Linked DNA regions of Mus musculus: region 2 is reported to be linked to region 1. The links are microRNA targets in miRTarBase. Many come from high-throughput screens and were not tested one by one. Region 1 holds a microRNA gene; the other region holds the end of a gene's coding sequence.

Region 1 (4,067 bases):
TTCCCCTCGCTCCCTCCCCCACATGCCTCGGAGGTCCCTTCACTGTAAAGCGCCGGGGGTGGGAGGGGAAGGGGTGCCCACGCACTCACCCGTGCTCACGTGAACTTTGCGCATCCAGGGGTAGACGACGGGCTCTTTGCACGCGGAGTGGGACGGGCTGGGATGCAGGGGGTTCTGGGCGCAGGGAGGCGGCGGGGGGCTGCTGCTGACCGCCTCGCTGCGCTGCCCGGGCTCCGGGAGGAGGGCCCCGGCTGTTGGCTGCACTGGAGCCCGAGGGGACAGCCCGGGCGGTGGCGGGGGCGGCGGGGGCGGCGGAGGTGGCGGGGGCCCGGGGTCTCGGCAGGCCGCGTAGCGCTGCACAGTGCACGGCGCCCGGCGCCCAAAGGCCGCCTCCGGCTGGAAGCCGCTCTCTCGCCTCTGGCCGCCGGCGTAGTACCCGGGCGAGTGGTCGCTGGGTAGGTAATCGCTCTGTGAATACTCCTCGCACGGAGGGAACTTGGGGTCGACATAGTTTGAGTTGATCAAAAAGGAACTCATAGCCATTAATTTCTGGGAATTGCCCACAAAATATACTAAAATTTATTCCGACCCCTGACTCGTTTTCCTGTTTCCGAAAGCCCTCCTACTTACTGTCAAGTGAACAAAGTTAGAGGCCCACGTGATCCTCCGAGCCAATGGCCACCCGGCCTGCGATTCCCGGATAAGGAAATCTGCTCACCCGGACCCTACTCCAGCCAAAGAGGTTTATTTCCCCTTCTCTACCCCTCCCCACCCACCCAACACCAGGATTTACATAGGGCTCCCGCGGGGAGACCCCCTCCTCGCCTGGCTTTCTCCACAACAGAGAGGGGTGATGAACTAAGAAAGAGTGAGCAGGTTAATTGGAGGGCCTGTTTGGGGGTGAGGGGGCTGGGCAGAGCACAAACCCTGCATCCCTCAGAAGTTGGGGCTGCGGGTGTAGCCCCCACCCCTGCCCTACCTAATCTCCACCAACCTTTCTCTGACTCCCATAGGGCCCCATCTCCTCCCCAGGATAAGAGGGAGCTCACGCACTAGGTGTCTGTGTGGGGTTTTAAGTGGTTGGCCGACCAGGGAGCGCCTTCTTGAAATGGGTACCCACTAGGTCATAGGGGCGCTGAGCTTGGGGCTTCTCAGTGCAGCCAGATGGGGAGGGGTAGGAGGTGAGTGAGGAGGCGTCGGGAGCTAGAAGGCGGGTGCGCAGAGGGACTTGTCAGAGATGAATGGAACCGCGAGCAGATCGATAGGAAATTCACGCACTAATTCGGGGAGACTTCGCCTTCCAAATCGCATTTAGCTGCACTATGAGCATCGGCTGTGTCCGTCAGTCTGTCCTCCTCAACACTCCCTCCCTTTAACCCACAAGGCCCAAGGTCAGAGGAACGGCTGGACTCCCTCCACTAAAGACAGAAGATACAATGAAACCAAACCAAACCCGCAAGTTCCTAAAACCAATTGAATAGTAATTTGCTAATTCCAGATTCGTCGAAGCAATGCTAACCAAGAGTTCTAATTGCCGCTAAAGCCGCCGCCTCTGTCAGTGTGGCAGAAAGAAATTTCACAACCTTGAATACTAAGTAAAGGAGCCCTAGCTGTGACGCCCCCACCAACATCACACGCACAAGAACACCCATGGCAACCTTATGTTTTCAGGGCATCTTGTCTTGAATTCAACGAAACAGCAATCTTCGCATCCTTTTAAAAAGCAAATTTCCTTTGCCTTTGCACACTGCAGCCTTCAGCAATCTTTTTTTCCTCCTCATGATTTCCAATAAAGCCCCCTGGACCCAGAATAAGAATAGGTAGGTTGGGGCTTAAAGATAAATTTTAAAACACCAGTAACATTAATCTCTTGAGTGAACAAGGACCCAAGCTTCCAGGGGTGTGCATGGGGACACCTCAGGTAGATGAGATTTCTCCCTCATTGGTTGAGGGAGGAAAAGAAAAGGAGTCTTCTTGAAGGCAGTCACTGGATTGTCCTCATTTAGAAAATAATCTATTTTTCTTCTGGGAAAGAATATGAGCGGAGTGTTTATGTCAACTACATATTCCCCTAGATACGAATTTGTGACCACAAAATTCCTTACACAAATTCGGATCTACAGGGTATATACAGAAGACAGACAGGTCTTCTTGGCCCAGGAAATTTCCAGTTCTCTTACTTTCCGTGCGTTCTTCTTTTGGGTGTGATCTGAATGTTTTCATTTTTATTTCGTTTTGTTTTAATTTTGAGATCTGGGAGCAGAAAAGTCACTGTGGGTCCGTTCTTGGGATTACAAGGGGTTTCAACTTTCTATTCAAAAAATAAAATAAGATTTTTTAAAAAGGCAGCTGTTGTGCAAAGGGACTCGAACCTCGTGGCTGCCGCGCGACTTTCGGTGGCGCATGAATTATTAGATGTAAACATTAGCTAAGCACAAAAGAAGGAAGGGTCATCCCGAGGCTGCCTCGAAGTCAGAATCAGGCCTTTCTGGGTGCCCTCGGCCCCTCCCCTCCCCCCATGACTTTTTTTTTTTTAAGAAAAAATACAAAACCCCAAATAGGTTCCTCCCTTGCCCCCACAGCCTTTAGTTTGTGATCAAACACATATATAGATATTTTCCAAAGCAAAGGGAGGAGGGAGAGGTGTCTGGGTGTGAAGGGGGTGTAATAAAAGTCCTTTTGGAAAAAGTGAATGCTAAAAAGAGAGAGAAAAACAGCTGTGAGGAAAAATGCTGGGAGACCAAACAGATGGCCCCCCCCCCCATATTTAATGACGGGCAATTCCGTTTACAACCTGAGAAGAAGATCAAAGGCAGTTCATTTCCGAATGAAGGGCAATGAGGAACCATAAAAGTTGCAGCCAGATGATGTGCAGGCCCCTCCCAACCTCACATATCCCCCCCATACCTCCTGGAGGCTGGAATAAGGGGACACCCCCCTAGAGGTGTGAGGAGGACCCCCCCTACCCACACCTTATCCCCAGGCAAGGATCCTCTGTCTAGAGGCTCACTAACTGGGCCCATCCACCTGCTTGGGTTGCTGGCTGTGTGGCCAAAATGGGATTCTGGAGTTTTTGGGTGAACTTCCTGAAGCTCCCACTAACATTTGACTTTTCTAAACTGAAAAAATGAGAAATTGAGGATCTGGAGTTTAAACTGGGAGAGCTGTGACCAGGTGAGGGCAAGTGTGTCCAGCAGAGTCTTTCTCACTATCACCACCGCTATAACACCCTAGGCTTGGGGGATACTTCTGCCCTTACTGAGTAAATTACAACACAGTCAATTTCATGAACATACACAAACAAGCCAAACCCACGCATGCACACACCAGGAACCCTTGCAAATGGGCAGGAGAGCTCCCACCTGCAGGCAACTGGGTCCAGAGACCTCAGTCTTTGTTGTTGTTGTTGTTGTTGTTGTTGCTGCTGCTGCTGTTATTGTTAAACCTCATAGATCTAGGCATGGCAATGTTGTCCTCTGGGTTTGTTTTCTAACCCCAATGCCCTCCTATAGGCCAGACTCATACTTAACTGGAGAGAGAGTCAGAGAAAATACATTGTAGTTTTGATCTTCATCAAAGACGGGGTTCAATTTAGTCACCCATAGACAAAGTGTGCTGCTTTGACCCAAGCATCAAGCAAGAACAGTCCTCTCAAAAGGTATTTAGAAGTACCACGACCCACTCCAATGTCCAGGCCCCTCCCCTATCCCATATCTCCTGTCCTGCTCTTGAATACTGGTCTAACTCTGTTTCAGAGAGCAGCTAGTCTACATTTTGCTGATCTATGCTTTAACAAGGGATGTGGCCCAGGTTTCCTGAGCTCCAAGGGAGAGGAATAGGGATAGAGAGATGCAAAGCTGGGTATGGTTGAACCTAGGGCCGGAGCACTGAGATTTTCGCTTTTGCGAATAGGAGAGCCACCACCTGCCCTCCCACCAAGGCGCAGCTGCAACCCCCATCCACACTCCCTCCCTGTGTAGACGCCAGGGGCGGAAGACAGGATTTATCTGCAACTCCAGGACAGGTTTCATTGCAGCTACACGCAGCCTCACCTCTCTATGTCTAGA
Region 2 (4,067 bases), not on the chromosome of region 1:
TTTGTGGAGGCAGGGTCTTACTGTGTGGATTTGCTTCATGCACTACCATGCATGGCCTTTGATGTGTTTTTGCAGTTTTGTTTTAAGCTCTGAAGACTTGTTTTGTTTGTGGAATAACATTAAGACATTTTTCTTTTCTTTTAGCTTCAAGGTATTGCAGCATGCTGATTGAAGAAGGAGGACTGCAGCATTTGTATAACATCAAAGAACACGAGCAGACAGATCCCTATGTCCAGCAGATTGCTGTGGCCATTCTGGACAGTTTAGAGAAACACATTGTGCGCCATGGAAGGCCCCCTCCCTGTAAAAAGCAGCCCCAGGCCCGGCTGAATTGATAGCCATAGATAGTTGTGTAACGAACAGACAACGGGAAGCATTTTTGTGGTTGGTTCCTTTGGATTAGCGTGCTCTCTGGTGTTTGGGGCGGGGTGGGGGGTGTCTGTGGTAAGAGTCCTGTGATCCATTTGGAATTGGTAATGTACAGTACTGCCCATGTGAACAGTCTGATTTGTTTTGTGATTTTTAACTTATGAGGCAAGAAAGGTCTTCCTTCAATATTGTCTCTTAGGGAATCTCTCTCTCAGTGTTTGAACTTAACTTGTGCTTGAAATTCTACAGTTTCACGGTAAGCTGCACGCACTCTTCCGCAGGCTTCCTTGCAGGTGAGCAAGGCTGCTGACTTGACTTCAGCTCCACCTCGATGTAATTTTATATTGCTCTGTAAAAATGCACCCATTCTCTGTTGCCTTCCCATGATGCCCTTCTTTGTGTGATGAAAGCTGTTGTGTTTCTAGAAGCTTCTTGCTGTCAGGAGCCTGAGTAGCAATCAAAGGAACATAAAAGAAAGACCGTGAAAGGACCGAGTTGAAGGGAATTAGAAATTGCTTTTGTGGTAGAGCTCTGAAAATGGAAAAGGCTCTCCTGGTGTCCCTCTGCTACTTACTCAGTGGAATAGAGTTAAGTTGCTTAGTTAAAATACAATTGACAGAAAATTTGTTGCAAAAATTTAAACTTGAGTTGGGGTGTGGCTCAGTGGTAGAGTATGTTCTTGGAATGTAGGAATTGAATACCCAGCACCACACACAACAAAAAGTTGAATGTTTCTTCTGTTCAAATATGTGTATCTGTCAGGCATAAATGGCTCATGCCTGCAATCTCAACACTCAGGAAACTGAGCAGGAGTAGTGCTGTGAGTTTGAGGCCAGCCTGGGTTAGAGTGACATGTAGTGGATCCTCATTATGTGTTCATGTTAGAAAAAGCTCAAGAGAAGAGTGGGCTACTGCTGCGGCTGCGGCTGGATGGCTACCTGTGGAGTCGGCTGAATAAAAGGAAATGGTTTTGATCGGTTAGTTTTTAGGCAGTTGCCTTTCCTATAAGATAATTGATATATGAAGAATCAGTTATCATCCTATGAACCCGGGAGGCAGCAAGTTAGCAACAAACTTAAATTCCACTATAATTTTAAGTTGGGAATAATTCAGATTTATAATCCAGTAATAGCAAGGATGAGACAGAAGGAACTACAGTTGGAGACCACAGAGTTGCAAGCCAGCCTGGGCTACATGGGAAAGACCCTTTCTCACGAAACAAAACAAATATTTTAAGGGGGTCTTGGTGGCACTTGCCCTTAATTCAAAACACTAAGGAACAGGTGGCTTTCAGGGCCAGCATGGACTAGACAGCAAGAGCCCATCTCAAAACAAACCAGGATGCTCACATCTTGTTTTGTAAATAGGTTTAATCTGAAATCTCTTCTGACCACATTCATACATGTCTCAAATGTTTTCCGTAGTTTTAAAGTAAGTCAGGAATGTTTCAGTTTAGAAAGGAGCTAGATTAAGCTGTGCATCTGAGTGTGCACCTGTACCCTAGTGCATAGAAGACAAAGGTGAGAGGAATATGAGTTCTGAACCAGCCTGGACTATAAAGAGTGACCAGCAAGCTTATTGCTAGTATGCTTTTACCATGTCTGACTCATGTTTCATACTACTGTCACACTCCTTGGACTTGAATGTTTCAGGCTTCCTTTATAAGGACAAATACTGAATCAAACTGAAAGAAAACAGACACATAGAATTATCAAAAAGCCATATAAAACTATGGTTTATTTCTTACTTCATTGGTTCAAGGAATTTTAAGAGCTATACGATACATTTTTACCCAAGATGGTTGCTCAGATTCACCACTGGAGACAAGATTGCCATTCTGAGACTAGCCTGGGCTACCTAGTGATGCTTGTCTCAGCAGCCTCCATCTCAAAAGATGTCTTTTTCATAGTTAAACACATTTGGAAAAAAGAAAATTCTTTCAAAGGAGTAGTTTTTGCTTTTTGTTGACATTTCCCCCTCAATTTTAACGTCTAAGACAAAGTTCTGATAATATGATGTAGTCTACAATAACTAGCAAGCTTGTGGTGTTGATTTGCCAAGCTTACAAAGTACACTTGTGAAATAGTTGAGAACTTTGGCTCCAAGTGTCATGACCAAAGTACATGTGCTATAGGCTATTGCTAACCTTTTACAAAGTTTCAGAAAAATAAGTCAGGTGTGGTAGAGTTCACCTGTAATCCCAGTATTAGCAGCTGCGTAGCAAATTCAGAACCAACGTTTGGTTACCTGATATCCTATCTGGAGAAGCAGAACCAGACAGAAATGGTCAAAAGGTCTACAGAGTGATTGAGAATAACCTGATACATGAAGGCTCAAAACCAATTCAATTTATATTCTCCAGGCCAGTCAGGGCTAGATTGCCCCAAAACAAACAAACAAACAAAACTTAAAAACAAAAGCCCACAAACTCAAAGTGACAGATTGTATCCCAAGTAAATCAAGCTATTAGTGCCCGTGTTTTATTTTTGTTTTTGAGTCTCACCATGTGTAGACCCAAGGCTGTAGTCTATATTGATCTCATTCAGTTGACATTCCTGAGTGAGTGGTAGGATTCCACACATGTGCTACCATGTCTGGCTAAGGGATAGCTCTTGCTTTGTTTTGTTTGTTTTTGTTTTTCCAGACAGGGTTTTTCTGTGTAGTCCTGGCTGTCCTAGAACTCCCTCTGTAAACTAGGCTGGCCTCAAACTCAGAGCTTCCAGAGTGCTGGGATTAAAGCTAAAATGTAGTAAATACATATGTGTATTTATAAATTACGAATGTCCAGCCAGCTTCTACAGGCCTCCCATTTGTAATTGGTTGGTACTTCCAAAGCCACTGGCCTAGTGGTGTGCTTTCAGGCATAGTTTAGACTGACCTGAATGGCCTTGTTGAACTAACTCATCAGTATGCTCAGACACCAGCCATAGGGTCAGGAGTAGCAAGACTTGGATCTGCTGGAAGAAACACATGCACAAGGACCCAGGTTCAGTTCCTGCCAGAGAGGAAACAGAATTATGAGACTTTGTAAGACTGGAGTCGAATAAAGCAAAATATAGATATCAAAGCATCTGGGTTTTGTGTACTGAATATGTTTTTGCCATGGTCTCTGTACTCTGAAGTTTGTTTTCCTTCTGGGTTGAGAGTGCAACTCAGCTCAGTACTGGAGGGAAGCACACCGATTTCAACTCCTACTATCAGAAAAGGAAAAGATGATATTTAATGTTTTCTTTTTTAAGTTATCAATAAAACCATAAATCAAGAATAGGGGCTGGGCGGTGGTGGCACACACCTTTAATTCCAGCACTTGGGAGGCAGAGGCAGCTATATATCTCTGTGAGTTCAAGGTCTGGTCTACATAGCTCTAGGAAGCCAGGGCTATATAGAGAGACCTTGTCTCCAAAACAAAACAACACCAATCATAAAAATCCATTTAATAAAGTTCTCTTACTAATGAGTCCTTTTAGGCTGGTCTCTGGTCAATTTTTGACTTTTTTCCTTTGTCTCATGGAATCAGAGCTAGCTTAAAACTCTCAACCATCCTGCCTACGTCCCTCAGCACACCCCTTGCTTAGCTTTTTAGTCCCTTCGTTGTGGTGGTTTGAAATTACAGGTGTGTTAGGATAATACTGGTTTGTCTTTGATGCTCTTTGACCATAGGTTCCCCCCTTGGTACGTGCTGATGAAAACATTTAATG

What was found. The annotated mature microRNA mmu-miR-10a-5p reads UACCCUGUAGAUCCGAAUUUGUG and lies in region 1 at 2,105-2,127, opposite strand. An mRNA with a match to its seed (bases 2 to 7 or 8) in the 3' UTR can be bound and repressed. Matches are read on the target gene's strand: a 7mer-m8 pairs with bases 2 to 8, a 7mer-A1 pairs with bases 2 to 7 and ends in A, and an 8mer does both.
Region 2: miRTarBase lists Zyg11b as a target of mmu-miR-10a-5p. Seed matches in the 3' UTR shown: 7mer-m8 at 3,014-3,020.

The regions. Positions count from the first base shown.
Region 1 is chr11:96,315,246-96,319,312 of GRCm38, reverse strand. It overlaps Mir10a (microRNA 10a), which reads right to left and starts at 2,148; the gene lies at 2,039-2,148. Hoxb4 (homeobox B4) reads right to left here and starts at 1,046. Exons shown (of 2, transcript NM_010459.7): 1 at 90-1,046. The coding sequence starts at 543. It also overlaps a transcript of Hoxb3 not described here.
Region 2 is chr4:108,232,272-108,236,338 of GRCm38, reverse strand. Zyg11b (zyg-ll family member B, cell cycle regulator) reads left to right here. Exons shown (of 14, transcript NM_001033634.3): 14 at 145-4,067. The coding sequence ends at 335. Among named protein-coding and RNA genes, the nearest start is that of Zyg11a, 16 kb to the right of the region's middle.